Anolis sagrei: one gene and its partners. The protein of the gene in region 4 purifies or fractionates together with the protein of the main gene of each other region. This does not show direct contact. Links are inferred from orthologs where the notes say so. Each region holds a gene or a part of one and is shown on either strand. Other genes may lie near its edges.

Evidence for each region. The genes of interacting proteins can lie anywhere in the genome.
Region 1: the proteins of BCL7C (region 4) and SMARCD1 purify together in Homo sapiens (affinity purification with mass spectrometry; 5 studies listed by BioGRID and IntAct, counting the BioPlex papers as one, with this or other methods). This does not show direct contact. The link is inferred for Anolis sagrei from reciprocal best matches to the Homo sapiens genes BCL7C and SMARCD1.
Region 2: the proteins of BCL7C (region 4) and ACTL6A purify together in Homo sapiens (affinity purification with mass spectrometry; 3 studies listed by BioGRID and IntAct, counting the BioPlex papers as one, with this or other methods). This does not show direct contact. The link is inferred for Anolis sagrei from reciprocal best matches to the Homo sapiens genes BCL7C and ACTL6A.
Region 3: the proteins of BCL7C (region 4) and SMARCD2 purify together in Homo sapiens (affinity purification with mass spectrometry; 3 studies listed by BioGRID and IntAct, counting the BioPlex papers as one, with this or other methods). This does not show direct contact. The link is inferred for Anolis sagrei from reciprocal best matches to the Homo sapiens genes BCL7C and SMARCD2.

The regions. Positions count from the first base shown.
Region 1 is NC_090022.1:140,190,856-140,198,028, reverse strand, and holds the start of SMARCD1 (SWI/SNF-related matrix-associated actin-dependent regulator of chromatin subfamily D member 1), read right to left. Parts: upstream 3,021-7,173; 5' UTR 2,996-3,020; coding exon 2,825-2,995; intron 2,690-2,824; exon of another isoform or gene 2,576-2,689; coding exon of another isoform or gene 2,534-2,575; intron 569-2,533; coding exon 381-568; intron 1-380. UniProt on the Homo sapiens protein: Involved in transcriptional activation and repression of select genes by chromatin remodeling (alteration of DNA-nucleosome topology).
Region 2 is NC_090023.1:257,608,918-257,616,452, reverse strand, and holds the start of ACTL6A (actin-like protein 6A), read right to left. Parts: upstream 3,021-7,535; 5' UTR 2,924-3,020; coding exon 2,899-2,923; intron 345-2,898; coding exon 268-344; intron 1-267. Other genes in the region: NIFK (MKI67 FHA domain-interacting nucleolar phosphoprotein), read left to right, coding at 4,997-5,131.
Region 3 is NC_090026.1:37,945,184-37,952,642, forward strand, and holds the start of SMARCD2 (SWI/SNF-related matrix-associated actin-dependent regulator of chromatin subfamily D member 2), read right to left. Parts: upstream 3,021-7,459; 5' UTR 2,975-3,020; coding exon 2,792-2,974; intron 1-2,791. UniProt on the Homo sapiens protein: Involved in transcriptional activation and repression of select genes by chromatin remodeling (alteration of DNA-nucleosome topology).
Region 4 is NC_090026.1:14,296,294-14,303,263, forward strand, and holds the start of BCL7C (B-cell CLL/lymphoma 7 protein family member C), read right to left. Parts: upstream 3,021-6,970; 5' UTR 2,266-3,020; coding exon 2,174-2,265; intron 1-2,173. UniProt on the Homo sapiens protein: May play an anti-apoptotic role.

The sequences.
Region 1 (7,173 bases), on a different chromosome or scaffold from region 4:
TGTGCAAATACTGAGGTCCAAATTTGACTGACAGATCCAGATAGAGTGGACTCACTGAAGTTATGAGATCTACACGTATGTTGACTCACTACTGAAAAAAAAAAAGAATCCACGCGCCTAATTTGATTGGGACAATTACCAGGGCTCATACTGCCTCAACCTCTCATTTTGTAGCTTCTGTCACCCCATCTTCCAACTTTAAGATCATGTTACTGAAACACTAGTATAAGGTATTTTTAAAGACACATCTGAAAAGAAATCTGTAACTGGCCTTCCCCAACTTGGTGTATTATACTACATTTTCCGTCATCCTATTCCAATATAGTTGGGCAATGGGAGTTGTAGTCCCCCACCCCTAGAGGAGAAAAAGCGCTTCTTACTTGTGATTACGATTCTGCACGGACTGCTGCTGCACTTGTTGGATCTGCTGAGGGGCTGGCCTCTTGCGAGACTGGTCCATCCCTGACTGAGCCATCCCTGGTCGGACTGAAGGGCTCCCGCCATACCCCGGAGGCCCCATTGCAGGTCCCTGGGGGTTCATGCGGCTGCCAGGCAGCATCCCGGGACGCTGGGAAAGGAGGAAAAACAGCCCTGTGATTACCAGTGTTCAGTCAGGAAAAGCACTGGTTACTCAACAGCAAAACACCTTGGGTTCATCTACAGTGTAGAACTCATGCAGTTTGACATCACTTTTAACTGCCATGGCGCCATACTATGGGATCTTGGGAGTTGTAATTTTAAAGGGTCCTTTGCCTTCTCTGCCAAAGAGTGATGATGTCTCATCAAACTAAAACTCCCACAACTCCAAAGTATGGAACCAAAGTGGTGCTAAACTGCATTCATTCTTCTGCAATAGTTTTATCCTTAGTTGCAAAGAACATTTATTACAACTGGTTTATACAAGAAGCTGGCTCACAGTCCTTTCTGGAATATCTAAATCTGTTCCTATAGGTTATTTTCTCCCTCCTTTCCAAAAATGTAACATTTCCCAGAAAGTTCTCTTTTCTCTTAGGCTGGAATGCTTAAGGGGATGAGGGGGAAAAGGAAAGGGCCTGGGCTGGTTAGGAATTGCAGAAGTTGAAGTCCAAAACACCTGGAAGGGTTCAAGTTTGCCCATGCCTAGAGACTCACTATACAAGGTGCGTGCTTTTGGACAGAGTGGGGAGGGGATTGTAGCCCTTTGCACAGAGTCAGAGATCCCACCCCCCCAGACAGCTTTCAAGCCCTCAGGACTGATTTCTCTCTTCACTCCCCCCCCCCCCCACCCCAAATAAGCAGCACCAATGACAGGCCCTCTCAGTCTATGCTAGGTCTCTTCAAACTGTGGCCCTCCAGTTATTTGGGCTTTCAGGTCCCAGAAGCCCATGCCAGCTTGTTCAATGGTCAGGAATTCTGGGAGACGGAGGCCCAAACAGCTGGAGGTTGAGAGTGTTTGGCCTATGCCCAGCCATTGCATGCTGTTCCTCCATGTAAAGAAAAGTCATTACCTTCCCAACAGTTAAGCATCCAGCCATGCAACTCTTACTTGACATGCAAAGTAATGAAAAAATACTTATCATTTAGCCTTACTAACTGCATAAGCCAGCCTTTAGCTTCAATATCTTTTCAGCACCTCTGGGTCCAGAAACCTGAACCCTCGCCCATTATTATTGTATGACTATGGAGCAGAACAGACAACTCCGCATCTGTATGCTTGGTCCACTATGCCTTGCCTCACGTACAAAGGAAGAACTGTTGGAGGCTACAGACAATGCCATTGCTGTTGCCCGTTTTTGGTCAAAAGATACTTAGCCGCCTGCACTCCTTCTATTTTTATTAGTTTATACTAATTCAAGCAATGCTTTTGATACAAAATAAATAAATAGTACTAAATCATAGAATCCTAGCATCATACAGTTGGCCATCTGTCAGGGGTGCTTTATACAATTTTCCTGCTTCTTGGTAGGGGGTTGGACTAGATGGCCCATGAGGTCTCTTCCAACACTAGGATTCTATGGATTTGCAAGGGCCCTCCACTTCAACCCCATTTTTCCATGCAGGAGCACACAATCAAAGCTCTCCCGACAGATAGTCTGCTTAAAAACCTCCGGAGAAGGAACCTTAATAATAATATTTATTTATTTATATCCTGCTTTTTCTCTCATAAAGAGACTCAAAGCGCCCTCCCCCACAGGCTAAAAAACAACACAATAAACAACATAAACTTGAAAGAAAATTAAATGTAGAATGGTTTAAAATAGATAAATTCAAATCCTAATAAAATACCCCAGCTCACTAGCAAGGACATAACTATAATTTTATGCCTCTGATTTCATGCTGAGACATTGTTCTCCTTTTGTTTCCTTGTTAAAAAAGGAAAACACACTCAGGCGGAGGGAGATGCTACAAAGGCAGTGAAATCGAAGAGAGGCAAGCCACAAAAGGCCCTCTGGCCCAGCCCCGCCCTGCCTCCCCTCCCCCTCTCCCTCCCCCCTTGAAGCCCCGTGTCCCTTGGATCCCCCGCCATTCCCCCTTTCGAGGGCGTCATGCTCACCCCGGAGTCTCTCCCCACTCGCCCTTGCAGCCTCACCCCCATATTGCCCTCTCTTTCAAGAGAGCCTACTATCCCCCAAATCCCCCCTGAAAGGATGGCGCCCTCTTCTCCGCCTCCATCTTTCTGGAATGGCTCCCCTCCTCCCTCTCCCTCCCTCTAGGCCTGCCAGGCCCCGCCCACTGCAGTGCGGCTCCCTCCGCCGACGTCATCGCCCGCCAAGCCCCGCCCCCTCCTGGCCCCGCCCCTTCTCGCCTCCTCTCTTTCCCCTCCCAAGCCCGGCCGGGTCGGTACCGGGTAGGCGGCGCCGGGCAACGGCGAGCGGTACATCCCTTGCCCCGGGGCCGGGCCCATCCGCACCGGAGGCCCCCCCGCGGCGCCAGGCCCTAAAGGCCCCGCTCCAGGCCCGGCTCCGCCGCCGCCACCGCTCGGAGCGACCGCCTGGAAGCCCGCCCGCGCCGCCATCTTCCCTCCCTGGGCAGTACAAAGCGCGGAGGGGAGGCGGATGTCGGCTCAGGAGATGGAGCGCCGCTGCACCATGGAGACGCCGCCCGCGGGCGGGTAGAGCGCCGCCGGCTGGGGAGAGAGAGAGGCGCAGAGGAGCGCCCCGCGGGACTCCCCCTGCTGGACGGCGGCCTGCCATTGCAGCCTGCGTCAGGAGCGCCCTTCTCTGTTCGTATGGGGAAAGGCCATTCCATGCTAATCAAGTGGCCAATTGCAACATTCACACTTGCCTCAAACAAGCCAAAAGTTGTCGAAGGCTTTCATGGCCAGAATCACTGAGTTGTTGTAGGTTTTTTCGGGCTGTATAGCCATGGTCTAGAGGCATTCTCTCCTGACGTTTCGCCTGCATCTATGGCAAGCATCCTCAGAGGTAGTGAAACCTCACTACCTCTGAGGATGCTTGCCGTAGATGCAGGCGAAACGTCAGGAGAGAATGCCTCTAGACCAGGGGTCCTCAAACTAAGGCCTGGGGGCCGGATACGGCCCTCCAAGGTCATTTATCCGGCCCTCACTCAGGATCAAACTAAGTGTGAAACGACTTGAAACCACACAACGACAACAACAACAACAACAATCCTATCTCATCAGCCAATAAGTTTATATTTGTTCAAATTGTTCTTCATTTTAATTACAGTATTGTTTTAAGTGGGTTTTTTTGCACTACAAATAAGATACATGCAGTGTGCATAGGAATTCATTCATGTTTTTTTTTTTTCCAAATTATAATCCGGCCCTCCAACAGTTTGAGGGACTGTGACCTGGCCCTCTGTTTAAAAAGTTTGAGGACCCCTGCTATAGACCATGGCCATACAACCCGAAAAAACCTACAACAACCCAAGACGAGTTCTTTCTCCCACTCGGAATGTTCCACAGATATATAAACCCCACTTGCCTAGATTCCAACACATGCCACAACTTCTGAAGATGCCAGCCATAGATGCAGACGAAACATCAGGAGAGAATGCTTCTGGAACATGGCCATACAGCCCAGAAAACTCACAGAAACCCAGGCCATTTATTGTTGTCAGCCAAAAAAGCTACTGGGCCTTGCTAAACTATAAGCTAGGTCATTCTGCAAAATATTGCCATTACCATTAAAGTGGAACAATAGCCATTTAAGAGTGGAGTGTGATAAGGCCCTTATTACTTTGGAACTGTATTATATAAGTGCAGACTCGTGTATTTTGAACTGTACTAGGCTGCATTAATATGAGCCTACACTGGCCATATGTAATGTAATAATAATAGTAATAATAATTGTATTTCCTATCTGCCTTCCCACAGCCTTCCCACAGCACAGTTAACAATTATAAAAATTCTACAAACATATTAAAATTAATTTCCATAAAAGATACAAATCAAAGCATTTCTGTAAAATACACATTAATCACACAAGATATGATATGAGTTAAATAAACCATGCGTGAAGACTAGTTTTAAACTGCATTATATGGCCTTGACTGAAAAGGACGCCCTGTTGACGTGGATGGGTCTGGTCTAAGGAGCACATTATAAGGCTTGATTCAGAGAGGATTAGGTAGCCCAATCCTAATGTAATTTCCCTTTTTGTTGTGTACTTTCAAGTTATTTCTGACTTACGTTAACCTGAATGTTAACTTATTTTAGCTGGTCTCTAGAGTCACTCAAACCACGACTCCAAGCTTTTAACTTAATTTATTTATTTTTTGTGTGTTTACTTGAAATTGAGAGCAATTTAAAACGGTCATGGATGAGACCCTGCCATGGATACTGGAACCTGAAGGCACAGATACCGGCTCTGTTAAGCAGCAGCTGGTACCAGTCGACAACCATTTCACGAGTCCGAGCGCCTGGTGAGCTAAATTGGAGATGGAGCCACCAAAGTATTTTATTCAATCAGCTGGTTGAGATCTCAACCCGCAGTATCCCACCAAAGTAAGCTGAGATACAGACATAGTAAAAGTAAGCATTTTATACAGTACAGATTCAAAATTCCCACTGCCCGCAACTGGACCCAGATTGGCTGTGATTGGCCAAACTCCGATGATGTCAGAGGAGTCTCTCTGCAGAGGTGTGACTGCGGTGTTCACTGGTCATGGGAGAACTTTCCTTGCCTCGGATATAGATGTAGTGCTCTCCAATGGCTGAAGAGGGGCTGAACGGAAACTTTACACAACAGCAACATAGTAACAAGTTGGAAAAATCGAATGGGATTAAGGTATCGCTGAGTATTTTATTGTTTTGCAAATGGTCCTGTGAATTTCTGACTTTGTGGGGTGATGACTCCGCACCAATGTCCTTTGTTGTCCAACAAAAAAATATTGCTTTGGGTGATTGGATCATTGATTCGTGCCTGGGAAAACAGAAGTGACATGTAGGAAAACAAGACAGCGAACTTCTCCCCATTGAGAACATGTCATGTCTATGTGGAGTCCCCGGTGGCACAGTGGGTTAAACCCTTGTGCCGGCAGGACTGAAGACCGACAGGTTGCAGGTTCGAATCTGGGGAGAGCGCGGATGAGCTATCAGCTCCAGTTCCTTATGCGAGGACATGAGAGAAGCCTCCCACAAGGATGGTCAAACATCAAAAACATCTGGGCATCCCCTGGGCAACGTCCTTGCAGATGGCCAATTCTCTCACACCAGAAGCAACTTGCAGTTTTTCAAGTCGCTCCTCACACAAGATCTGTCTCTCTCTCTCTCGTGGTAAATGTCTATAGAAGTCCAAGTGGCTACATAGTTTACAGATGGCCCTGCTCCAATATCTCTTGTTCCATGTAGCCTGGGTACCGTTCACAATTGCTGGGTGATTACATCCAAGGTTATCAAGTTGTAGCTCAGGGAGTGGCTTGGAGGTGTCCCTGAGCGAAGACGTGCTGGCTTGAAAGGTCACCATGGTGGCTGGTTCTCCAAGTTTTATATAATACAAAGCATAAAGAAATTAAACATATACACACAAAGGGGAATCCCAAGGACTGTGGGGGACCTGACCCACAGAGACCCACTATCCAGGGGACATAGGGACACATGCACGAGGGGCTACATGAGGTTAACAAAGGGAGTCAATCTCCCTGGGCATCCATTGGGGAAAACAGGTGAAATAATAGGAAGGAAAAGATAAACATATACATGAGGGTTCTGTGAAGGCAAAGGTATCTAGACATTAGACAAGCTGACCCCCCCCCCCAGGGAAACATATGCAAATGAACCCATGGGTGAAGAGGGAGATCATCTGAATCTCCGTATCCACAGGGGGTTGGGTTGACATAGGTGATGGGATAGGGGATTCAGTGCAAGGAAGGGGATTATGAGGTAGGTTAATTGAGAGAGGAAAGTTATATAGATCTGCGGATAAGTGAATGTCTACAATACCAGTAAAATGCAAAAAGAGGCAAAATAGGGCTTGGGAGCCTGCTGGGGCTCCCAGAGTGGTTAGGAGGTGGCAATGGTTGTTTATGAGGGGCTATTTGGAGGATGAGGCTATGAATGGGCCCTGTCCTGGGGCTCTGGGGGGTCTGGGCCATGTGGCCCGGGCCATTGTTGGCACAGCTGAAGAATGCAGAAGTGATGCTTTAAAAAAAGTTTAAACCTTAATGGGATTAGGAGGTATTCTCTGGGCGCTGGTATATGCTGCTGGATTTCTCCAGACCTTCGGATTTTTGCATAATTCATTCTGATAAAAATAAAAGCCATGTTAACCTGCGGAACACTCTGCCATGCCACCAAGTTCATATAATTTGGTGGTTGATTGGAGGGAGGGGGGGTATTTGTGCTTGACATCATACTCATGATATGAGAAGGGAGCACCCTGCTAAGATAACTTGTTCAGTTATAGATCCATGATTGCTTGCATTCAGGCACCAGCCTTCTCATGAAGGTTGTGGTTATCCATACCACTCGCTATGGTGGCTGTGTATTGCCCCCAGGATCAGAGGGAATAGGTCTCTGCTGTATCTCTCTTTCTGGGAGGCATGAAGGGAGTGCGGCATTGTGCTCTTGTCCTGATGGGTCTCTCACCTTGGCTTAGCAGGCCAATCAAACTGATCACTGCTGGGCTACATAGGCAGGCTGCTGGGCTACATAGGCTTCCCATTGTTCTTCATTGGCCCATGCCTTTCAGCCAGAAATTTTGCCTAGAATTAGGTCAACTGGTCATTACT
Region 2 (7,535 bases), on a different chromosome or scaffold from region 4:
CAGACAAAAGCTCTTTCTCCCACCGTGGACATTCCACAGATATTTAAACCTCACTTGTCTAGTTTCCAACAGACCTCATCACCTCTGAGAATTCTTCAGGAATACGGCAATACATTTTCTAATGTTACACCATTAAACTGTATTTCTGGCACGAAACGATGGCTCTTACTACACTGCCATATAAAATCCAGATAATCTGCTTTGATTATATGGCAGTGTAGACGATGCCATTGTTACCAGGTAATAACAGCCCACTTTTGTTCTTACCTTTGGGCAGTCTTCTCCAGCATAGCCAGCTCTCACAGTGTAAGACCCGATATCAAAGACCAGAGCTCCAACTTCATCTGCAAACACAAATATAGACTCTGGATAACTTTGATTAAACAAAAACAAAATCTTATGAGGCAAATAAGTTTATTTATTTATTATTTATTCAAAACTTTTATATCCCGATCTTCTCAACCTCCACAGAGGGACTCAGACCGGCTCACAATGCCACAACACAGTTTAAAACATCATACAACAGTAGATTAAAATACATATAAAGTAAAATACATATAAGCCAGTTCACCAAGGTAAAATCATGTCCAACTTAGTCCGCATATGTCAATAACTTTAGTCTGTTGCCGGTCTCAGCCATTATTCTGGGAAAGCTTCAATCCATAGCCAGGATTTCACTAGCTTCCTGAAGGTAAGGAGAGAGGGGGCAGATCTAATCTCATTTGGGAGAGAGTTCCATAGCCGAGGGGCCACCATGGAAAAGGCCCGGTCTCTCGTCCCCACCAGACACAATTGCAAAAGTGGTGGAACTGAGAGCAGAGCCCCTCTGGAAGATCTTAACAGCCTTGATGGTTCATAGGGGAGAATACGTTCGGACAGGTAAACTGGACCGAAACCGTATCTGGTTTTGTAGGTTAAAACCAGCACTTTGAATTGTGCTTGGAAGGTAATTGACAGCCTGTGGAGCTGGCGCAACAGAGGAGTTGTGTGCTCCCTGTACCCCGCTCCTGTCCGTAGCCTGGCTGCCGAGCGTTGGACTTATTGCAGTTTCCGGGCAGTCTTCAGAGGCAACCCGGAAGACTGCCCGGAAGCCTCAACTAGTCCAACGTTCAGTAGCCAGGTTGCTCACTGGGGCTGGGTACAGGCAGTGCACAACGCCCTTGTTACACCATCTCCACTGGCTGCCGAGTAGGATAGTCTTCCAGGCTCAGTATTCTGGTGGGTCCATAGGTGACTGTGGAGCCCAATTCTTGATCTGCATCTTCTCCCGCAGTGAGGGCATTGGTTTCCAGGTGGAAGGCGGTCTTGGTCGGGGTTGGCTTGACGCACCTTTCTCCTGGCACGTTTCTCTCTTTCGCCCCCCATTCCTGCCTCTTCAAATTCTGCAGCACTGCTGGTCACAGCTGACCTCCAGCTGGAGCGGTCAAGGGACAGGTCTTTCCAGTTCTCGGTGTCTATGCCACAGTTTTTAAGGTTGGCTTTGAGCCCATCTTTAAATCTCTTTTCCTGTCCATCAACGTTCCGTTTTCTATTCTTAAGTTCAGAGTACAGCAACTGCCTTGGGAGACGGTGGTCAGGCATCCAGACAACGTAGCCGGTCCAGCAGAGTTGATGGCAGAGGACCATCACTTCAATGCTGGTGGTCTTTGCTTCTTCCAGCACACTGACGTTTGTCTGCTTGTCTTCCCAGGAGTTGCATGTGACGTCTGTAGACAGTCCACGTCTCACAGGCATATAGCAGGGTTGGGAGGACAATAGCTTTATAGACAATCACCTTGGTATCCCTACGGATGTCCTGGTTCTCAAACACTCTCTGCTTCATTCGGGAAAATGCTGCACTCATAGAGCTCAGGTGGTGTTGTATTTCGGTGTCGATGTTGACTTTGGTGGAGAGGTGGCTGCCAAGGTAGCGGAAATGGTCAACATTTTCTAATGTTGCACCATTGTATCTCTGGCATTGGAGAGGGGATGGCTGGTGACTGCTAGAACAGCACTTTGGTTTTCTCGATGTTCAGTGACGGGCCAAGTTTCGTGTACGCTTCTGCAAAGGTATTTAGAGTGGCTTGTAGATCTTGGACCACCGTGGCCAAGTCAGACTTCCCAAGGTACGGGAAAAGCTCTCCTGGTCACCGCCGAAACCTGGTGTTCCAGGCTCAACGATGAATCCAGGATGACTCCCAAGCTGCAAACCTGCACCATCTGGGCGTCCCCTGGGCAACACCCTTGCAGACGGCCAATTCTCTCACACCAGAAGCGACTTGCAGTCTCTTGTGTCGCTCCTGACACGACAAAATAAAAGGGGGAGTGTAACCCTATGCCCTGTTTGGCCTTGCGTCTGACCAGGAGGACCTCTGTCTTGTCTGGATTGATGTTGAAAAGCCGCCTTGAGTCACCTTCGGATTCGAGAAAGGCGGGGTAGAAATATCATAAATAAATAAACAAATAAATAAGTAAGTTTATGGGCAAAATACATTGAAGTTACAGAGGCCTGGAAGACACAAGTCTCCTAACCACAACAAGTCTCCTAACAAGTCTCCAAACACAACAAAGTGACAATCCATCAAGGAGTGAGAGCTAGTTTGGAAGATGTCAGCAAAGCCATCAGCTTGTATTTCTGATCAGGCAGGCCTGGGCCAACTTGGGCCCTCCAGGGGTTTTGGACTACAACTCCCACAATTCCTAACAGCCTACCGGCTGTTAGGAATTGTGGGAGTTGTAGTCCAAAACCCCTGGAGGGCCCAAGTTGGCCCAGGCCTGGTCTAGCTGCAACTTCAGAGAGTCTAGCCTGCTTTCCACTCCAGAGTCATTCAAAGGAGAGTCCCCTTCCCTTCGGTCTTAAAGGCGCCGCAGCCCCGCCTGGCTTTCCCATCTCGCGCATGCGCCAAGCCCTCCGCTCACCTCCTCCGTAGACCCCGCCGCTCATGGCTGCAACCGAGGCTCCGCTCTGCTTCTCTTCACAGCGCGCGGCGGGATCCCTTTCTCCCGTTCTACCTCGCTAAGGCCCGCCTCCTCTCCCTCTCTCCACCAATCGGCAGCCCGCCGCTGTTCCAAAGCCCGCCTATCGCTGGAGGAGCCAACTGCAAAGGGCTCTCCTGATTGGCTTTCGTTTTGCCTAGTAGGTATCATAGGGTTTGTGTCCCTCCAATGGGAGGAGAAGATTCAAGTTTGGTTGCCTTGTAGTAGTTTTGGTGGGAAGATCAGCACAGAGGGAAAAGTCTAGTCAAGGGAGAGCATTGGATTTCTGCATGTTTTGCTTGGGAGTTTAATCTGTTTTATTTTTTATTTTAATTATTTTAATTTATTTTTATTAATATTTTTATTTAATTTATTAATTAATTAATTAATCTATCTATCTTCTATATCTATCTATATATATACAAAAGAACCAATGAATGAAATCACACCAAATTTGGCAACAAAACGTCTCACAACACAAGGAGTGACCATCACTCAAAAAATTATGATTTTGTCATTTGGGAGTTGTAGTTGCTGGGATTTATAGTTCACCTACAATCAAAGAGCATTCTGAACTCCACCAACAATGGAATTGAACCAAACTTGGTACACAGAACTCCCATGACCAACAGAAAATATTGGAAGGGTTTGCTGGACATTGACCTTGAGTTTGGGAGTTGTAGTTCACCTACATCCATAGAGCACTGTGGACTCAAACAATGATGGATCTGGACCAAACTCTACAAGAATACTCAATATAACCAAATGTGAACACTGGTGGAGTTTGGGGAAAACAGAATCTTGACATTTGGGAGTTGTAGTTGCTGGGATTTATAGTTCATCTACAATCACAGTGCCTTCTGAATCCCACCAACAATAGAATTGGGCCAAACCGCCCACACAGAACCCCCATGTGGGCCACAGCAACGCATGGCAGGGGATGGCTAGTATATATATATATATATATATATATATATATATATATATATATATATATACATACATACATACACTAGCCAAGCCCTATGAGAAGCGGCTTAAGGAGCTGGGCATGTTTAGCCTGAAGAAGAGAAGGCTGAGAGGAGATATGATAGCCATGTATAAATATGTGAGAGGAAGCCACAGGGAGGAGGGAGCAAGCTTGTTTCCTGCTTCCTTGGAGACTAGGACGCAACGGAACAATGGCTTCAAACTACAAGAGAGGAGATTCAATCTGAAAATGAGGAAGAACTTCCTGACTGTGAGAGCTGTTCAGCAGTGGAACTCTCTGCCCTGGAGTGTAGTAGAGGCTCCTTCTTTGGAAGCTTTTAATCATAGGCTGGATGGCCATTTGTCGGGGGTGATTTGAATGCAATATTCCTGCTTCTTGGCAGAGGGTTGGACCGGATGGCCCATGAGGTCTCTTCCAAGTCTTTGATTCTAAGTGCAGCCTTGCATAAAATACCTTTCTTGATTATCCAATACTGTATGATCAACTTTTTGATTCTATGATTATATATATATATATATAGGATCCAAGTTCATACATATCTCATGTGATATACAGTGATGATAATGGAACAGGGCCCAACAACATAGTAAAATGTTGACCTTTCTGTAAAATGGCAAAATCAAAGGTTGCTCTTCAGAGAGAGAGAGAGAGAGAGAGAGAGAGAAATGTATATGGGACCCAAATTTAAACACACACACACGTATATCCTATGATATACAATGATGATTATTATATTATATTATATTATATTATATTATATTATATTATATTATATTATATTATATTATATTATATTATATTATATTATATTATATTATATAGAATGCGAGGATATGGAGGTCTGGCTGTCTTTGCATTTGTGAATATCACTGGAGTCACTCCTCATCCAGTACTTCCGCCCCCAGCCAGCAGGGGCCGCTGTTCTGCCGTCCTTGTTCCTACTGTGGCACCAAGCCAGCCAAGCGGAAGTGACGAGAGGAGGCTTCCGTTTCTTGGCAGCCACACGCCGTGTGAGGCAGAGGCGGCCCCTTTTCCTGCTGCGGAGGCGCCATGGCGGCGGTAACAGAAGGCTCTTCCGCGGCGAAGGCGAAAGCCAAGGCCAGACAGGCGGCCCCGCTCCTTTCCTTGGACCTGGACCGACAGCAAGAGTTCCAGGCTGAGGTGCAGCGCGTGCGGAAAGGCAAGGTGAGAGAGAAGGAGGGGGAAGCGCCACCAGAGTCTCTTAGGGTGCCGCTGCACTGCGCATGCGCAGGTGTTTGGGACTCCCAACTCCTACAATTCCTAACAGCCGGTAGTTGGAGTCCAGAACACCTAAAGGGCCCAAGTTGACCCAAACCCATGTACAGTTTAGCAGCTATTAGGGGTAGGTAAGGTAAAGGTATTGTATTTTGTCTGTTTGCTTTGTTCTGTTAGAAATGTAATATAATTGACTGGTTGATCTGACACGACAAATAAATAGGTAAAGGCAAAGGTTTCCCCTGACATTATAGTGTCTGACTCTTGGGGTTTGTGCTCATCTCCATTTCTAAGCTGAAGAGCCGGCGTCGTCCGTAGACACCTCCAAGGTCATGCGGCCAGCATGACTGCATGGAGTGCCATTGCCTTCCCACTGAAATGCTACCTATTGATCTGCTATAGAATCAAAGAGTTGGAAGAGACCTCATGGGCCATCCAGTCCAACCCCCTGCCAAGAAGCAGGAATATTGCATTCAAAGCACCCCTGACAGATGGCCATCCAGCCTCTGTTTAAAAGCTTCCAAAGAAGGAGCCTCCACCACACTCCGGGGCAGAGAGTTCCACTGCTGAACAGCTCTCACAGTCAGGAAGTTCTTCCTCATGTTCAGATGGAATCTCCTCTCGTAGTTTGAAGCCATTGTTTCACGTCCTAGTGTCCAAGGATGCAGAAAACAAGCTTGCTCCCTCATCCCTGTGACTTCTTCTCACGTATTTATACATTATTATCATGTCTCATCTCAGCCTTCTCTTCTTCAGGCTAAACATGCCCAGCTCTTTAAGCTGCTCCTCATAGGGCTTGTTCTTCAGACCCTTGATCATTTTAGTCGCCCTCCTCTGGACACATCCCAGTTTGTCAATATCTCTCTTGAATTGTGGTGCAATTTGCATCTTTTTGAACTGCTAGCTTGGCAAAAGCTGGGGCTAACAGCAGAAGCTCACCCGCATTCAAACTGCCAACCTTTTGGTCAGCAAGTTCAGCAGCTTGGCGGTTTAATCTGCTGCACCACCAGGGGGGCCCAGATATTAGGGGTGCTATGCTGATTATTGGAAGGCTGTTGTTGTTCATTCGTTACGTTGTTTCTGACTCTTCGTGACTTCATGGACCAGTCCATGCCAGAGCTCCCTGTCGGTCGTCACCACCCCCAGCTCATTCAAGGTCAGTCCAGTCACTTCAAGGATACCATCCATCCATCTTGCCCTTGGTCGACCCCTCTTCCTTTTTCCTTCCATTTCCCCCAGCATAATTCATTGGAAGGATAAACAGATATATTTATGTGTTAGCCCTGTCCTTATTAGTCCTCTTGAATTCGTTTTCATACATTAATATATTTTTTTCCACATCTCATTGACTTGCCCACATTAAGAGCCGTGGCTCATGAGAGTTGTAGTTTGGCAAGGCACCAGCAATCTTTAGCAGATTAAATAATAATAATAATACCACAAATACCATTTGCCTGCAACAAAGAACTGGTGGAATCATAATCTGGAAAAAAGTTACAGAAAATGAACATGTCAAACTACTCTGGAACTTCCAAATTCAGACAGACAGAGTTTTGGAGCACAATACTTCTGACCTCACGATCATGTTAAAAAACAAAGTACGGATTGTCGATGTGACAGCAGGATTGAAGAGAAACAACTGGAAAAACTGACACGATATGAGGATTTAAAGATCGAACTGCAAAGACTCTGGTACAAACCAGTAAAGGTGGTTCCAGTGGTGATTGGCACACTGGGTGCAGTGCCTAAAGACCTTGGCATGCATTTAAACACAATCGACACTGACAAAATTACCATCTGCTAGCTGCAGAATGTCACCTTACTGGGATCTGCACACATTATTCGCCAATATATCACACAATCCTAGACACTTGGGAAGTGTCCGATGTGTGATCCAATACAACAGCCAGCAGAGTGATCTTGTCTGCTGTGAGCTCATCTTGTTGTGTTTCAAATAATAATAATAATAATAATAAAACTCTTATCTCCCCAAGGGGATTCAGGACAGATTCCAACAAACAAAAAGGCAAAATTTCAGTGCCTTCACATGACCATAAATTCAAATACAAGTACAGGGTTAGTCAAAATGAATAGGCCAATTCGGGTACAATTAATTTTCTTATTGGCCTATTCATTTTGACTAACCCTGTACAATAACAGCCTGACCAAGTCCCAAGTGAACCAATATCTACAGTCAAATTAAACTTAGCTATCAAGTAACTCAACTCGACACAAAAAAAAATTGACATAGAAATCAATTTACAGAAACCAAAAATCATTTGAAATAGAATTAAAAGAGTATTACATAACTAATGATACCAACAAGCCAACAGCACCTGCAAGCCAGAGCAGC
Region 3 (7,459 bases), about 24 Mb from region 4:
CATCTCACCACGTTAAAACAGTGGATGTGGCTCTTAATGAGACATGCCGCATTATCACAGGATGCCTATATCCTACGCCATTGAAAAAATTATTCTGTTTGGTCGGTACTGCACCATCTGATATGTATCGAGAAGTAGCAGCCAGTAAAGAAAGGACCAAGGCATTGACATCTCCAGCCCACCCTCTGTTTGGATATCAGCCAGCATTCCAACGTCTTAAATCAGAAAATACTTTTCTAAGATCTACAGAGATAGTCGCAAGAACATCTTGGCAAACACGAGTCCAAAAGTGGCAGGCTAAAACTTGAAACATCAAACAGTGGCTGACACAGGATCAGAAACTCCCTTCTGGGTACACAGAAGACTAGGCGACTAGGAAGACACTGAACAGACTGCGCTCTGACACCACGAGATGCAGAGCCAATCTTAAGAAATTGGGCCACAAAGTGGAGTCAACGACATGAGAGTGTGGAGAAGAGCAAACCACATATCACTTAACTACAATGCAGGCTGAGCCCTGTCACATGCACAATAGAGGACCTTCTTTCAGTGACACCAGAGGCACAGAAATTTTTGCATTATGCCAAGTTTTTAACTTTGTTTGTGTTTATTTTAAACTACCATCCCTTGCCACGCGTTGCTATGGCCCAGTCTATATATATGTTCTTTGTGTGTGTATATGTGTATATATTTGTTTGCGTATATATATGTCGTTCTGCACATGCGTTGTAATGAATTTTTTTATTTTTTGGCTTTTAAGATTCTTCTGCTTTGTTTTTCAGTGTTTTTATGAGTGATGGTCACTCGTTGGCCTGATAAGGGTATTGTGTCCGAATTTGGTGTCAATTCGTCCAGTGGTTTTTGAGTTATGTTAATCTCACAAACGAACATTACATTTTTATTTATATAGATTCATTATAATACACAGGACTGTATTCAGTGCTGTGCCAGCAGGACTGAAGACCGACAGGTCGCAGGTTCGAATCCGGGGAGAGGCGGATGAGCTCCCTCTATCAGCTCCAGCTCCTCATGCGGGGACATGAGAGAAGCCTCCCACAAGGATGATAAAAACATCAAATCATCCGGGCGTCCCCTGGGCAATGTCCTAGCAGACGGCCAATTCTCTCACACCAGAAGCAACTTGCAGTTTCTCAAGTCGCTCCTGACACAACAAAAATAAATAAATAAATAAAAATCCAGGCATCCCCTGGGCAACATCTTTGCAGATGACCAATTCTCTCACACCAGAAGCGACTTGCAGTTTCTCAAGTTGCTCCTGACAGGACAAAAAAATTATAATTGTTTTCTTAATTCACTTCTGACACGATAAATCAAATGTTAATTGAAGACCTGTAGCAAAATGTCCTGCAGGATGTCCTGCAAAAAAAACATATTTTTTTTTGCAATTTCATAAACTTTTTTCATGTTTTTAATGATAGATCTAGGGAAGTAATGCTACCCCTCTATTCTGCTTTGGTTAGACCACACCTGGAATACTGTGTCCAATTCTGGGCACCACAATTCAAGAGAGACATTCACAAGCTGGAATGTGTCCAGAGGAGGGCGACTAAAATGATCAAGGATCTGGAGAACAAGCCCTATGAGGAGCGGCTTAAGGAGCTGGGCATGTTTAACCTGAAGAAGAGAAGGCTGAGGGGAGATATGATAGCCATGTATAAATATGTGAGAGGAAGCCACAGGGAGGAGGGAGCAAGCTTGTTTCATAGAATCATAGAATCATAGAATCAAAGAGTTGGAAGAGACCTCATGGGCCATCCAGTCCAACCCCCTGCCAAGAAGCAGGAATATTGCATTCAAATCTCCCCTGACAGATGGCCATCCAGCCTCTGTTAAAGAGCTTCCAAAGAAGGAGCCTCCACCACACTCCGGGGCAGAGAGTTCCACTGCTGAACGGCTCTCACAGTCAGGAAGTTCTTCCTCGTGTTCAGATGGAATCTCCTCTCTTGTAGTTTGAAGCCATTGTTCCGTGTCCTAGTCTCCAAGGAAGCAGAAAACAAACTTGCTCCCTCCTCCCTGTGGCTTCCTCTCACATATTTATACATGGCTATCATATCCCCTCTCAGCCTTCTCTTCTTCAGGCTAAACATGCCCAGCTCTTTAAGCCGCTTGTTCTCCAGACCTTTTATCATTTTAGTTGCTCTCCTGTTTTCTGCTTCCCTGGAGACTAGGACAAGGAACAATGGCTTCAAACTACAAGAAAGGAGATTCCATCTGAACATGAGGAAGAACTTCCTGACTGTGAGAGCCGTTCAGCAGTGGAACTCTCTGCCCTGGAGTGTGGTGGAGGCTCCTTCTTTGGAAGCTTTTAAACAGAGGCTGGATGGCCATCTGTCAAGGGTGATTTGAATGCAAAATTCCTGCTTCTTGGCAGAATGGGGTTGGACTGGATGGCCCATGAGGTCTCTTCCAACTCTTTGATTCTATAGAACCAATTAGGAAATGATGGAAATAACCCAGGAACAATAATCGTGTTACATAGTGTGAAGTGGATTCAGAAACTGGATTTGACAGCAGTGTAGACAGCGCCTCTGCCATGGAAGCCCACCAGGCGGGTCACACACTCTCTCAGCCTCAGAGAAGGCAAAGCAAACAACTTCTGGGCAAATCAACAAAACAAAACCAAACAAGAGATGGGGAAAAAACATTCAAAGGCACACAACAGCAGCTTGCTTTGAAAGCCAAACCTTTCCTGGCCCAGACACGTGTCTAAAAGCCATGCCTTCCTCGTGTGTGCTGCTCCCCGACACTCCCTCCTCCAGAAGCCACCTACTTGGAAGGGGACTCCGTGCGCCATGGGCCGGAATGGGGTGGCCCCGGGGCTGGGCCCTCCTCGCAAAAGCACACCGCCTCCGGGCCCCGGGGGAAGAGGGACGCCTGCTGAGGCCGAGAGCGCCATGGAAGGCAGCCTCTCGGGCGGCGAGGCCATGGGGAAGTTCCCGCCGCGCCCGGCCATCGGAGGAGAAGCAAGAGACGAGTCCTTCCTCAATCGGAGGCAACCGCCGTCTGAGGGGAGAGAAGAGGAAGCGGCTTCGATTGACTGACGAGGCGAACGGCTCCCTCAGCCAATCGGAGGCCCCGGCAGCGGCAGGCCCCTCCCCCCAGGACCGCCCTCTCCGTCAACCGCCAAGAGAGCGGGAAAGGAGGCGGGGGGACTGAGAGAGGGAAAGGGAGGGAAGCGAGGCCAATGAGCGCCTGACGAGGCCCAGCGCCAAAGAAGCGCCTCAGAGAGGCACGCGGCCCAGTCACGAGGGCAAACACACACACACACTCTCCCTCTGACTGGAATGTTTATGTCCAATCCATAGTTGTCTCTCATACATATATACATACATTCACACACACATATATCTAGCGTTACAAATACAAAAAACAATGCCCAGTATATATATATATAATAATCTATCGAAACCCAACCTTGCCACCAAAGTAGGAAAGAAACCAATAGCCAGGCAACCAGATATTGAGAACAACAACCTTCAAGAACCTTTTACATCTACTGTGCTGGTACAACTGCACCAGGAGCTCCAATTTTGTTTGTTTTGCATTGAATGTTTGTTGCAGTCCTAAGTTTCAGGGACTCTGCAGATACGTGGCTTCTTTTGGCTGCAATCATAGGGCAAGCCACCTGTCAATTATAGTTAGGTTCCCTGGTCCTGTCCCCCTTTTGGGTTTTTGGAGGGAATAGGAGCCTTTTTGGGTCAGTCCACACAGCGAAGCCTTTCGCACATGACATAAAACCAAGAGCTCCTGTAGAAAGTAGGGCTGGGTGGTTTCGTTTCGTTAATTCGTAATTCGTTAAAAAATCGTTATTTTTTTTATAACGAAGCAATAACGAACCATTCTGGAGCAACTTTAAAACGAAACGAATTTTTAAATTTGTTTCGTAATTGTTTCAGATTCGTTATGTATTCGTTTCGTTATCGTTTTGAAGTCGTTTCGTTATTATTTCCGCATGTCTGGGGCAAGTTTTATAGTTGTTTTTTGTTTAATTAGTTAAAAAAAATTATAATATCACACCAACAGTCAACAACAGAGGGAGAGGGAAGCTTCAGAAGTTCCCCCTGTCCCATTTGGAGGTTTTTTAGCGTATTTCGCGGTCGCGTCCGCCATTAACGAATTGATTCGTTATTGTTTCGAAATCGATTCGTTATTGTTTCGTAATTTTTTTAACATTTACGAAATTTCGTAAATATCGAACTTTTTAAAAGAAAAATTTCGGAATTCTTTTTAAAACCAAAACGCAAAAACCCCCAAAAAACTAATCGATTTTAGAAACAAATTTTTCCGTTGTTACCCAGGCCTAGTAGAAAGCTTTGTCTTCTACGGCTTGGCCGGAGAGATATACAGCCTACAGCTTGGCCAGGGTTATACAGCCCACAGCTTGGCCAAGGATCAGATAGCCTTACAGCTCCTTTGCTGAAGGACTTCAGTCAGCCATCACTGAAACCTGAACTCCTTTTTCCCTGGAAGTCTACAAAGCTCTGCTTGGTAAGGGTCGCTCGTGGAAGCCAGACGCAGTTGGTACCGGGTGCAGGGGCTCCACGCCAACAGAGGCAAAGACAGACTGCCCAGATTAGAAGTTAAGGATTTCCCCATTAGTTAGTTACAGTTAAGAAGATAGTGACTGTTCCCAGTGGACAAGAGTCAATAGACTATTAAGAAAGCCTTGAAGTACCTGTTTGTTTTCAATAATAAAGAACTTTGTTGAACCTTTAAGCAATCTAAAGACTCTGTCTGGGGAAATTCAAGGGTCTTTAATCTGAGGCAGCCCCAGCGTCCCGTTGGGCACACAGAATTTGTGTCCTGTCTACAGTCTTATGCACAGGCCCAGCATGCGACAGCACATCTACTGAATTGGACATGGCTCCCAATAAATGTAAAAATGGCAAAGCAGCTGGCCTGGATGATCTATGGATGGAACAAATCAAGAACTTTGGTCCAAAAGCAAGGCGCTGGCTGCTGGAACAGATGAACAATTGCACTGCATCCTGTCAGATCCCCAAAATCTGGAGGAAAGCAAGAGTCATTGCCATCTTGAAGCCAGGCAAAGGCCGTAATGATCCAAATAGCTATAGATTAATCTCCCTGTTGTGCCACCTCTACAAAGTTCTGGAGAGACTTATTTTGCATAGAATTACGGAAAAAATAGACCAATGTCTGATCCCACAGCAAGCTGGCTTCAAGAAAGGCAAAAGCTGCACATCGCAAGTGCTGAACCTGACTCAGCGCATAGAAGATGGCTTTGAAAGGCAGCAGATCACAGGAGCTGTCTTCATAGACCTGTCAGTGGCTTATGGTATTGTAAACCACCGCCTCCTCCTGAGAAAGATGTATAATATCACAAAGGACTACCATCTCACCCGCCTCATAGGAAACCTGATACAAAACAGGAGCTTCTTTGTTGAGTTCCAGGGCCAGAGAAGCAGATGGCGGAAAGAGAAGAATGGCCTGCCTCAGGGGAGTGTGCTTGCTCCATCCATGTTCAACATTTACACAAAAGACGAGCCACTGCCAGAAGGGACAGAGAGTTTCATCTATGCTGATGATCGTGCCATTACTGCTCAAGCAGGGAGCTTTGAGATGGTTGAACAGAAGCTCTCCGAAGCTCTAGGTAATCTTACTGCCTATTACAGGGAAAACCAGCTGATTCCTAACCCATCTAAAACACAGACATGTGCTTTTCACCTTAAGAACAGACAAGCATCCCGAGCTCTGAGGATTACCTGGGAAGGAATCCCACTGGAGCATTGCAGCACACCCAAATATCTGGGCGTCACTCTGGACCATGCTCTGACCTATAAGAAGCACTGCCTGAATATCAAGCAAAAGTGGGTGCTAAGAACAATATCATATGAAAACTGACTGGCACAACCTGGGGATCACAACCAGACACAGTGAAGACATCTGCCCTTGCGCTATGCTACTCTGCTGCTGAGTATGCATGCCCAGTGTGGAACACATCTCACCACACTAAAACAGTAGATGTGGCTCTTAATGAGACATGCCGCATTATCACAGGGTGTCTGCGCCCTACACCACTGGAGAAATTACACTGCTTAGCCGTTATTGCACCACCTGACATCCGCCGGGAAGTAGCAACCAATAGTGAAATGACCAAGGCAGTGACATCTCCAGCTCATCACCTGTTTGGGTATCAAGAAATAGTTTTCTTAGATCTACAGAGACACTCGCTGGAACACCTCAGCAAGTGAGAGTCCAAAAGTGGCAGGATCAAACTTAGAACCTCAATCAATGACTGATACCAAATGAGAGACTCCTCCCTGGGCACACAGAAAACTGGGCAACTTGGAAAGCACTGAACAAACTGTGCTCTGGCACCACGAGATGCAGAGCCAACCTTAAGAAATGGGGTTACAAAGTGGAATCCACGACATGCGAGTGTGGAGAAGAGCAAACCACAGACCACCTGCTGCAATGCAACCTGAGCCCTGCCACATGCACAATGGAGAACCTTCTTGCAGCAACACCAGAGGCACTCCAAGTGGCCAGCTACTGGTCAAAGGACATTTAATCAACTACTAAGCTTGCAAACTTTGTGTTTTGTTTGTCTGTTTGTTTTTTTGTTTGTTAAAAAATGCAATGCAGCTGTTTGGTCTGCTCCTGACATGATAGATAAATAAATAAATAAATTTATCGATGATTTCGGACAGATGGCAAGCTATTTAACCTCAGTAGAATGAAAGCCAGAACCAAGGTTACAACATTTGTTATAGAACTCCAATATGTTGATGACAACATCATCTGTGCGCATTCAGAAGAAGGTCTACAAGCCACTCTTAACACCTTTGCGGAAGCATATGAGAAGCTTCGCCTGTCAATGAACATCGAGAAAACCAAAGTGCTCTTCCAGCAGTCACCAGCCAATTGCTCTCCAATGCCAGAAATACAGCTTAATGGTGTAACATTAGAAAATGTTGACCATTTCTGCCAGGCATGTAGCCGGGGGGAGGGGGGGGGGCTCGAGGGGCTTAACCCCCCCCCCCCCCCCCCGAAATTCTCATGGTGGTTCGTGAAAAGGCCTTACTGGTGCATTGTTTAAACTGTTATGTTTATTCATATCATGATCTGATCACCATGCTCAATATATCCCATATGCATGGGGGTACTGGGGTAACGATACAAAAGGTTTGCTAGGCTAGACCCTCTTTCACTCAGACTCAGCCCCCCCCCCCCCCGAAACAAACTCAGACCCCCCCCCCCCAATCGAAATCCTGGCTACGGGCCTGATTTCCTCTACCATGGCAGCCACATCTCCACAAAAGTCAACATTGACACTGAAATACAGCACCGCCTGAGCTCTGCGAGTGCAGCTTTTTTCCAAATGAAGCAGAGAGTGTTTGAGGACCGGGACATCCGTAGGGATACCAAGGTGCTTGTTTATAAAGCTATTGTCCTCCCAATCCTGCTATATGCCTGT
Region 4 (6,970 bases):
TGCTCTCCCATCCAAATACTAGCCAGAACTGACCCTGCTAGGCTTTCGATAGATGGAATCTGGTGCTTTTAGGGCAGTGGTTCTCAACCGTCCTAATGCCGCGACCCCTTAATATAGTTCCTCATGTTGTGGTGCCCCCCAACCATAAAATTATTTTTATTGCTACTTCGTAACTATAATTTTGCTACTGTTATGAATCGTAATGTAAATCTCTGATATGCAGAATGTATTCATTCACTGGACGAAATTTGGCACAAATACCCAATACGGCCAAATTTGAATTCTGCTGGGGTTGGGGGAGGGGGATGATTTTGTCATTTGGGAGTTGTAGTTGCTGGGATATATAGTTCACCTACACTCTGAACTCTACCAACGATGGAATTGAACCAACCTGGCACACAGAACTCCCACGACCAAGAGAAAATCCTGGAAGGGTTCAGTGAGCATTGGCCTTGAGCTTTGGAGCTGTAGTTCACCTACATCCAGAGAGCACTGCAGACTCAAACAATGATTGATCTGGACCAAACTTGGCTTGGATACTCAATATGCCCAAATGTGAATACTGGTGGAGTTTGGGGAATTGACATTTGGGAGTTGTAGTTGCTGGGATTTATAGTTCACCTACAATCAAAGAGCATTCTGAACTCCATCAACAATAGAACTGGGCCTAACATCCCACATAGAAATCCATGACCTACAGAAAATTGGTTGCGAGGTGACCCCTCAGACACCCCTTTGCGACCCCCCCAGGAGTCCTGACCCCCAGGTTGAGAAACACTGAATTAGAGGATAGTGAGGTATAAATAAATATTATACTAACAACAATAACGACCACCTGCACAAACTGCATACACCGAAGAACTCACAACCCATCTAAAAACGGGTATTTACCTCTCCTTAGAGAAAGAATAATGTGGTTGCATCAGATATGTTGCACCACTGCAGTTTAGTCATAGTCGTTTAATACAAAGCTTGCAAGTTGCTCTTTTTTTGGACTATAGTTCCTAGAACTCCTTCCCAATCAGGCAGCATGCATGTTTTCCCTGTTGGCTGGCATAATGACAGTTCTAGGAGGTATAATTTTAAGAGTAACTTTTCTAAACTGTAACCAGTTCCTTAGGGGGGGAAATACAAATTAAATTTGGATCCAGCCCACTCTAGAATGCAGTTTAACTGCACTGAACTGCATTATATGAGTCTACGCTAACCATACAAAGCAGGCATGGGTAAACTTCAGCCCTCCAGGTGTTTTGGACTTCAACTCCGGCTGTTAGGAATTGTGGGAGTTGAAGTCCAAAACACCTGGAAGGCCAAAGTTTGCCCATACCTGATATAATGTAATTTCATACTGCATTACATGGCAGTGTAGATAGGGGCATGGCAAACAATAATAAAGACACATTAAATTAATCCTGTGCCCCACACCTTGGAAGCTTGGTTTGGAGGTCCAACAATGTACCCACAACACAGAAATAATATAAGGTTGCCAGGTCCCTGTGAAGTCCCAATAAAACACTTACTGCAGTGATCTGATGACTGACCAAAAATAGATAGGTTTGCCTACGTTAACCACATTTGTATTGTCAAAGGCTTTCATGGCAGGAATCACTGGGTTGTTGTAATTTTTTTCGAGCTGTATGGCTATGTTCTAGAAGCATTGTCTCCTGACGTTTTGCCTGCATCTGTGGCAGGCATTATGTTCATCAAGTGCTCTGAAGCACCCTGGACCTTCCACAGATATATAAACCCCATTTTCCTAGCTTCCAACAGACCTCACAACCTCTGAGGATGCCTGCCACAGATGCAGGCGAAACGGCAGGAGAGAATGCTTCTAGAACATAGCCATACAGCCCGAAAAACTTAAGACAACCCATTTAACTACAGGGTTGTTGTAGGTTTTTCTGGGCTATATGGCCATGGTTGAGAGGCATTCTCTCCTGACGTTTCGCCTGCATCTATGACAAGCATCCTCAGAGGTAGTGAGGCAAGCATCCTCAGAGGTATCCTCACTACCTCTGAGGATGCTCGCCATAGATGCAGGCATATAGCCCGAAAAAACCTGCAACAAACCAATGATTCTGGCCATGAAAGCCTTCGACAATACATTTAACTACATTTCTGGCCAAAGTTGGACCACTGTCAACAAATACTATAATCAAGCCTTGGGCCTCACCATCTCCGGACATGTTCGATGGCTGCCATCACTTTCTTGATGTCATCTTTCGCCCGGCTCCGCGTCTCTGCTCGAACCGCCCGTCCCGACATCGGGGTCCAACTTTTGGGGTTGTGTTGATGTCAGAGGTGGATGTGGGGTAGATAATAAGAATCTTGGCTTCCAAGCTGGATCGCAACCTTTGGCTTAAGCTTGCCCGTTCCCTTTATCCCATTTCACTCTTTCTTTACTCTTTCTTCTTTTTCTTTTGGTCCAACTTTTGGAGTGTGATGGTATTCCAGCTGGATTCGGAGAAGATGACAAGACTCTGTATTTATTTACTTGGCAATCTTGTGTTGATGCTTGTCCATTCCCTTTATCCCATCTCACACTTCCCTTGCTGTTTCTCTTTTCTTTCTATCTATCTTTTTCTTTCTTTCTACCTGTTCCTCTCCCTCCTCTCTACCTGTTTTTGCTCACTGCAGGAATCACAGTGCTGGAAAGCATCTGCGTCACTCGGTCCTCCATCTATCTCGCCACAGCTTCTCCATCAAGCGGTCCTCCTCTGTCAATGATGTGTCAACAATTTCTCCTTTTCTCTCCCCCCTCCTTTTCTCTCTTTCTCTCTTCTTCTTCTTTTTTATTCAAGCCTTCTCCTGCACATCTCTCTTCCTCTTGAGCTTCTGCCGGTCTGGACTTCCTCCTCTTTTGTCTTCTTTTCCTGTCCAGCCTTTGCACACACACACACACACACAAAAAGGGGAAGACAAAAAAAAGAGAGAACGGAAAAAAGGCAGTTCACCATCGGAAGAAAATAATATAGTTCTTTCTGTGGTTTTTTTCTGTCTCTTTCCAATAGAGATTTGTAACTAAAGGAGCGCCATCTGCTGACTAGGAGAAGCCAGAAAAGTCTCCTGACTTGACTCTTTTTAGGATTGCATCCTGCAGGTGGAGATGCAGATAAGAAAGAGAAAAAAGAAGAAACAAATAACACATTTGCAGATACACATCTGGTGACTCAACACCATTCCCTTGTACTCTAAGCGACAGTGCTATAGGAGATCTTTAGGGCTGCAGGTTTTAGGAAGAGACCGTACAGTGAGGTTTTGAAAAGATGTCTATCATTTGATTACAGGTTGAGCATCCCTTGTCCGAAATGCTTGGGAACAGATGAGTCCTGCATTTTGGATTTTGGCATTCTTGCAGTTACATAATGAGATAGCTTAGGGATGGGACCCAAGTCTCAACGTAGAACTCATTTATGTTTCATAGAGACTTTATATGCATCACCCAAAGGTCTATACATATGACTTTTCATAATCTATATAAATAAAAATGTATTGTCGAAGGCTTTCACGGCCAGAATCACTGCGTTGTTGTAGGTTTTTTTGGGCTATATGGCCATGTTCTAGAGCAGTGGTTCTCAACCTTCCTAATGCCGCGACCCCTTAATACAGTCCCTCATGTTGTGGTGACCCCCAACCAGGCCCGTAGCCAGGATTTCGTTTTGGGGGGGGGGGCTAAAAAAATTTAAGGGGGAGTTTTGGGGGGGCTGAGTTTCGGGGGGGGGCTGAGTCTGAGTGAAAGAGGGTCTAGCCTAGCAAACCTTTTGTAATGTTGCCCCAATACCCCCATGCATATGGGATATATTGAGTATGGTGATCAGATCATGATATGAATAAACATAAGTTTAAATAATGCACCAGTAAGGCCTTTTCGCGAACCACCATGAGAATTTCGGGGGGGGGGGCTGAAGCCCCTCAAGCCCCCCCCCCCCGGCTACATGCCTGCCCCCAACCATAATATTGTTTTCATTGCTACTTCATAACAGTCATAAATCATAATGTAAATATCTGATATGCAGGATGCATTTTCATTCCCTGTACCAAACACCCAATACACCCAAATGTGAATGCTAGTGGGGTTGGGGGAGGATTGATTTTGTAATTTGGGAGTTGTAGTTGCTGGGATTTATGGTTCACTTATAATCAAAGAGCATTCTGAACTCCATCAGTGATGGATTTGAACCAAACTTGGTTCCCCTGACAAATGGAAAACACTGGAAGGGTTTGATGGGCATTGACCTTGAGTTTGGAAGTTGTAGTTCACCTATATCCAGAGAGCACTGTGGACTCATGCAATGGTAGATCTGGACCAAACTTGGCATGAATACTCAATATGCCCAAATGTGATCACTAGTTGAGTCTGGGGAAAATAGATCTTGACATTTGGGAGTTGTAGTTGCTGGGATTTACAGTTCATTACAATCAAAGAACATTCTGAACTCCACCAACGATAGAATTGGCTCAAACTTCCCACATTGAATCCCCATGACCATCAGAAAATACTGTGTTTTCTTATGGTCTTTGGCGACCCCTCTGACACCCCCTCACGACCCCCTCAGGGGTCCCAACCCCCAGGTTGAGAAACACTGTTCTAGAGGCATTATCTCCTGACGTTTCGCCTGCATCTATGGCAAATATCAACAACACCCCTCACTACCTCTGAGGATGCTTGCCATAGATGCAGGCGAAACGTGAGGAGAGAATGCCTCTAGAACATGGCCATACAGCCTGAAAAAGCATACAACAACCCAAAAATGTAATGTTCGTTTGTGGGATTAACATAACTCCAAAACCACTGAATGAATTGACACCAAATTTGGACACAATACGCCTCTCAGGCTGACAAGTGACCATCACTCATAAAACACTGAAAAACACAGCAGAAGAGACTTTAAAAGCCCAAAACAAAACAAAAATATATACATTATAATGCATGTACAAAGCCACATATATAAATGCAAAGACACATATATTCACAAATATATACACACACAAAACACATATACACAGACTGGGCCACAGCAACGCGTGGCAGGGGACAGCTAGTCTATATAAATAAAAATGTAATGTTTGTTTGTGGGGTTAACATAAATCAAAAACCACTGGACGAATTGACACCAAATTTGAACACAAGACACCTTTGTAATTTGAGAGTTGTAGTTGCTGGGATTTACAGTTCACCTATAATCAAAGAGCATTCTGAACCTCACCAATGGAACTGAACCAAACCTGGCACTCTGGACTCAAACAATAATGGATCTTGACCAAACTTGACATGAATACTCAATATACCCAAATGTGAACACTGGTGAAGTTTGTGAAAAACAGAGCATGGCATTTGGGAGCTGTAGTAGCTGGGATTTATAGTTCACCTACAATCAAAGAGCATTCTGAACTCCACCAACTATAGAATTGTACCAAACTTCCCACACAGAACCCCCATGACCACACTGTATTTTCTGGTGGTCTTTGGCAACCCTTCTGGCACCCCCCTGTGATCCCCTCCCCCAGTGGTCCCAACCCCCAGGTTGAGAAATGCTGCCTTAAGGCCATCCAGCCCAACTGCCTTCACCAGGGCAAGAAAACATAATCAAAGCCTGACAAAGAGCCATCCAGCCATAGATATAGATAGATATATATGATTCACACACACATATGACAGATATAATATAGATTTGAAAGGGACTCCTAATGAAGGACAATAATATGTTCCATGTTCCAGAGTAGGCAAACCAGACAATCTCTACATCAATATTGACCAAAAAAACAAGAAGTAATGTTTATCCACAAGCATAAAGAAATTACATATATTAGAAGCCAACACTTTCTCATTACTTTATTTTCCAGTTCACCGGGCTAGGCCACAGCAACACGTGGCAGGGGATGGCTAGTGTTGGGCATAAAACATTAAGAACGGTTTTGGAATATCTGCAATTTCAAAATTACAGATGAACGATACTCAAACTGTATATACATTTATTTACGGTCAATGACCAGCACCAATAAATGTACATACATCAGAATAAGAACATATACATTTAGGCATTAAGAAACAATGTCAAAAACAAAGTTAGAACCCAGTATTGAATATGAAAGTTAAAACGGTATTAAACACGTATATGCCAAAATGACAATGGTAAAAACTGGAGTAAATATTAAAACCTTCTAAGAGTGTGACAGCATCTTGTGACGACAAGCTATTGCTGCTGCACAAAAGCTAGCAACTTTAGCAGTAATTTGGGGTGTTGGTCAGCCAAAAGATAATCAACATAAAACTTTACATATCTCCCTGATAAACTTTCTAAAATAGGATTTATAAAATGTTAACGAAGGTCTCGGTAAAAAGAGCAGTACAACAAAATGTGATCCATAGTTTCTGTTGCCTCAGCCTCAGAGGGACATAGGCATTCATCGTATGGTACTTTGTTATCTCTTTCCTCCAGTACAGCAGAAGGGAGTACATTGAATTTAGCCAAAGAGAACACCTTCCTATGTTTTGGGATAATTAGGTTGCCTAAGTACTCTGTAGGAAGAAGCGCCCTTCCATTGTCCTAGAATCATGGAGTTAGAAGATATCATCTAGGAGTCCCTGGTGATGCAATGGGTTAATGGGTTGTGCCAACAGGACTGAAGACTGACAGGTCAGAGGTTCGAATCTGGGAAGAGTGCGGATGAGCTCCCTCTGTCAGCTCCAGCTCCCCATGCAGGGACATGAGAGAAGCTTCCCACAAGGATGGGAAAACATCAAAACATCCAGCCGTACCCTGGGCAAGGTCTTTGCAGACAGTCAATTCTCTCACACCAGAAGTGACTTGAAGTTTCTCAAGTTGTTTCTGACACACACACAAAAATCTTCTAGTTCAACCCTGCCAGTATAAGAAAGGAAAGCAGGGCAACAACAACAACAACAGGCTGCCCCCCACCCTCCAAACCTTCCACGCACAATTAAAGACCTGGCTTTGACCATGTTTAG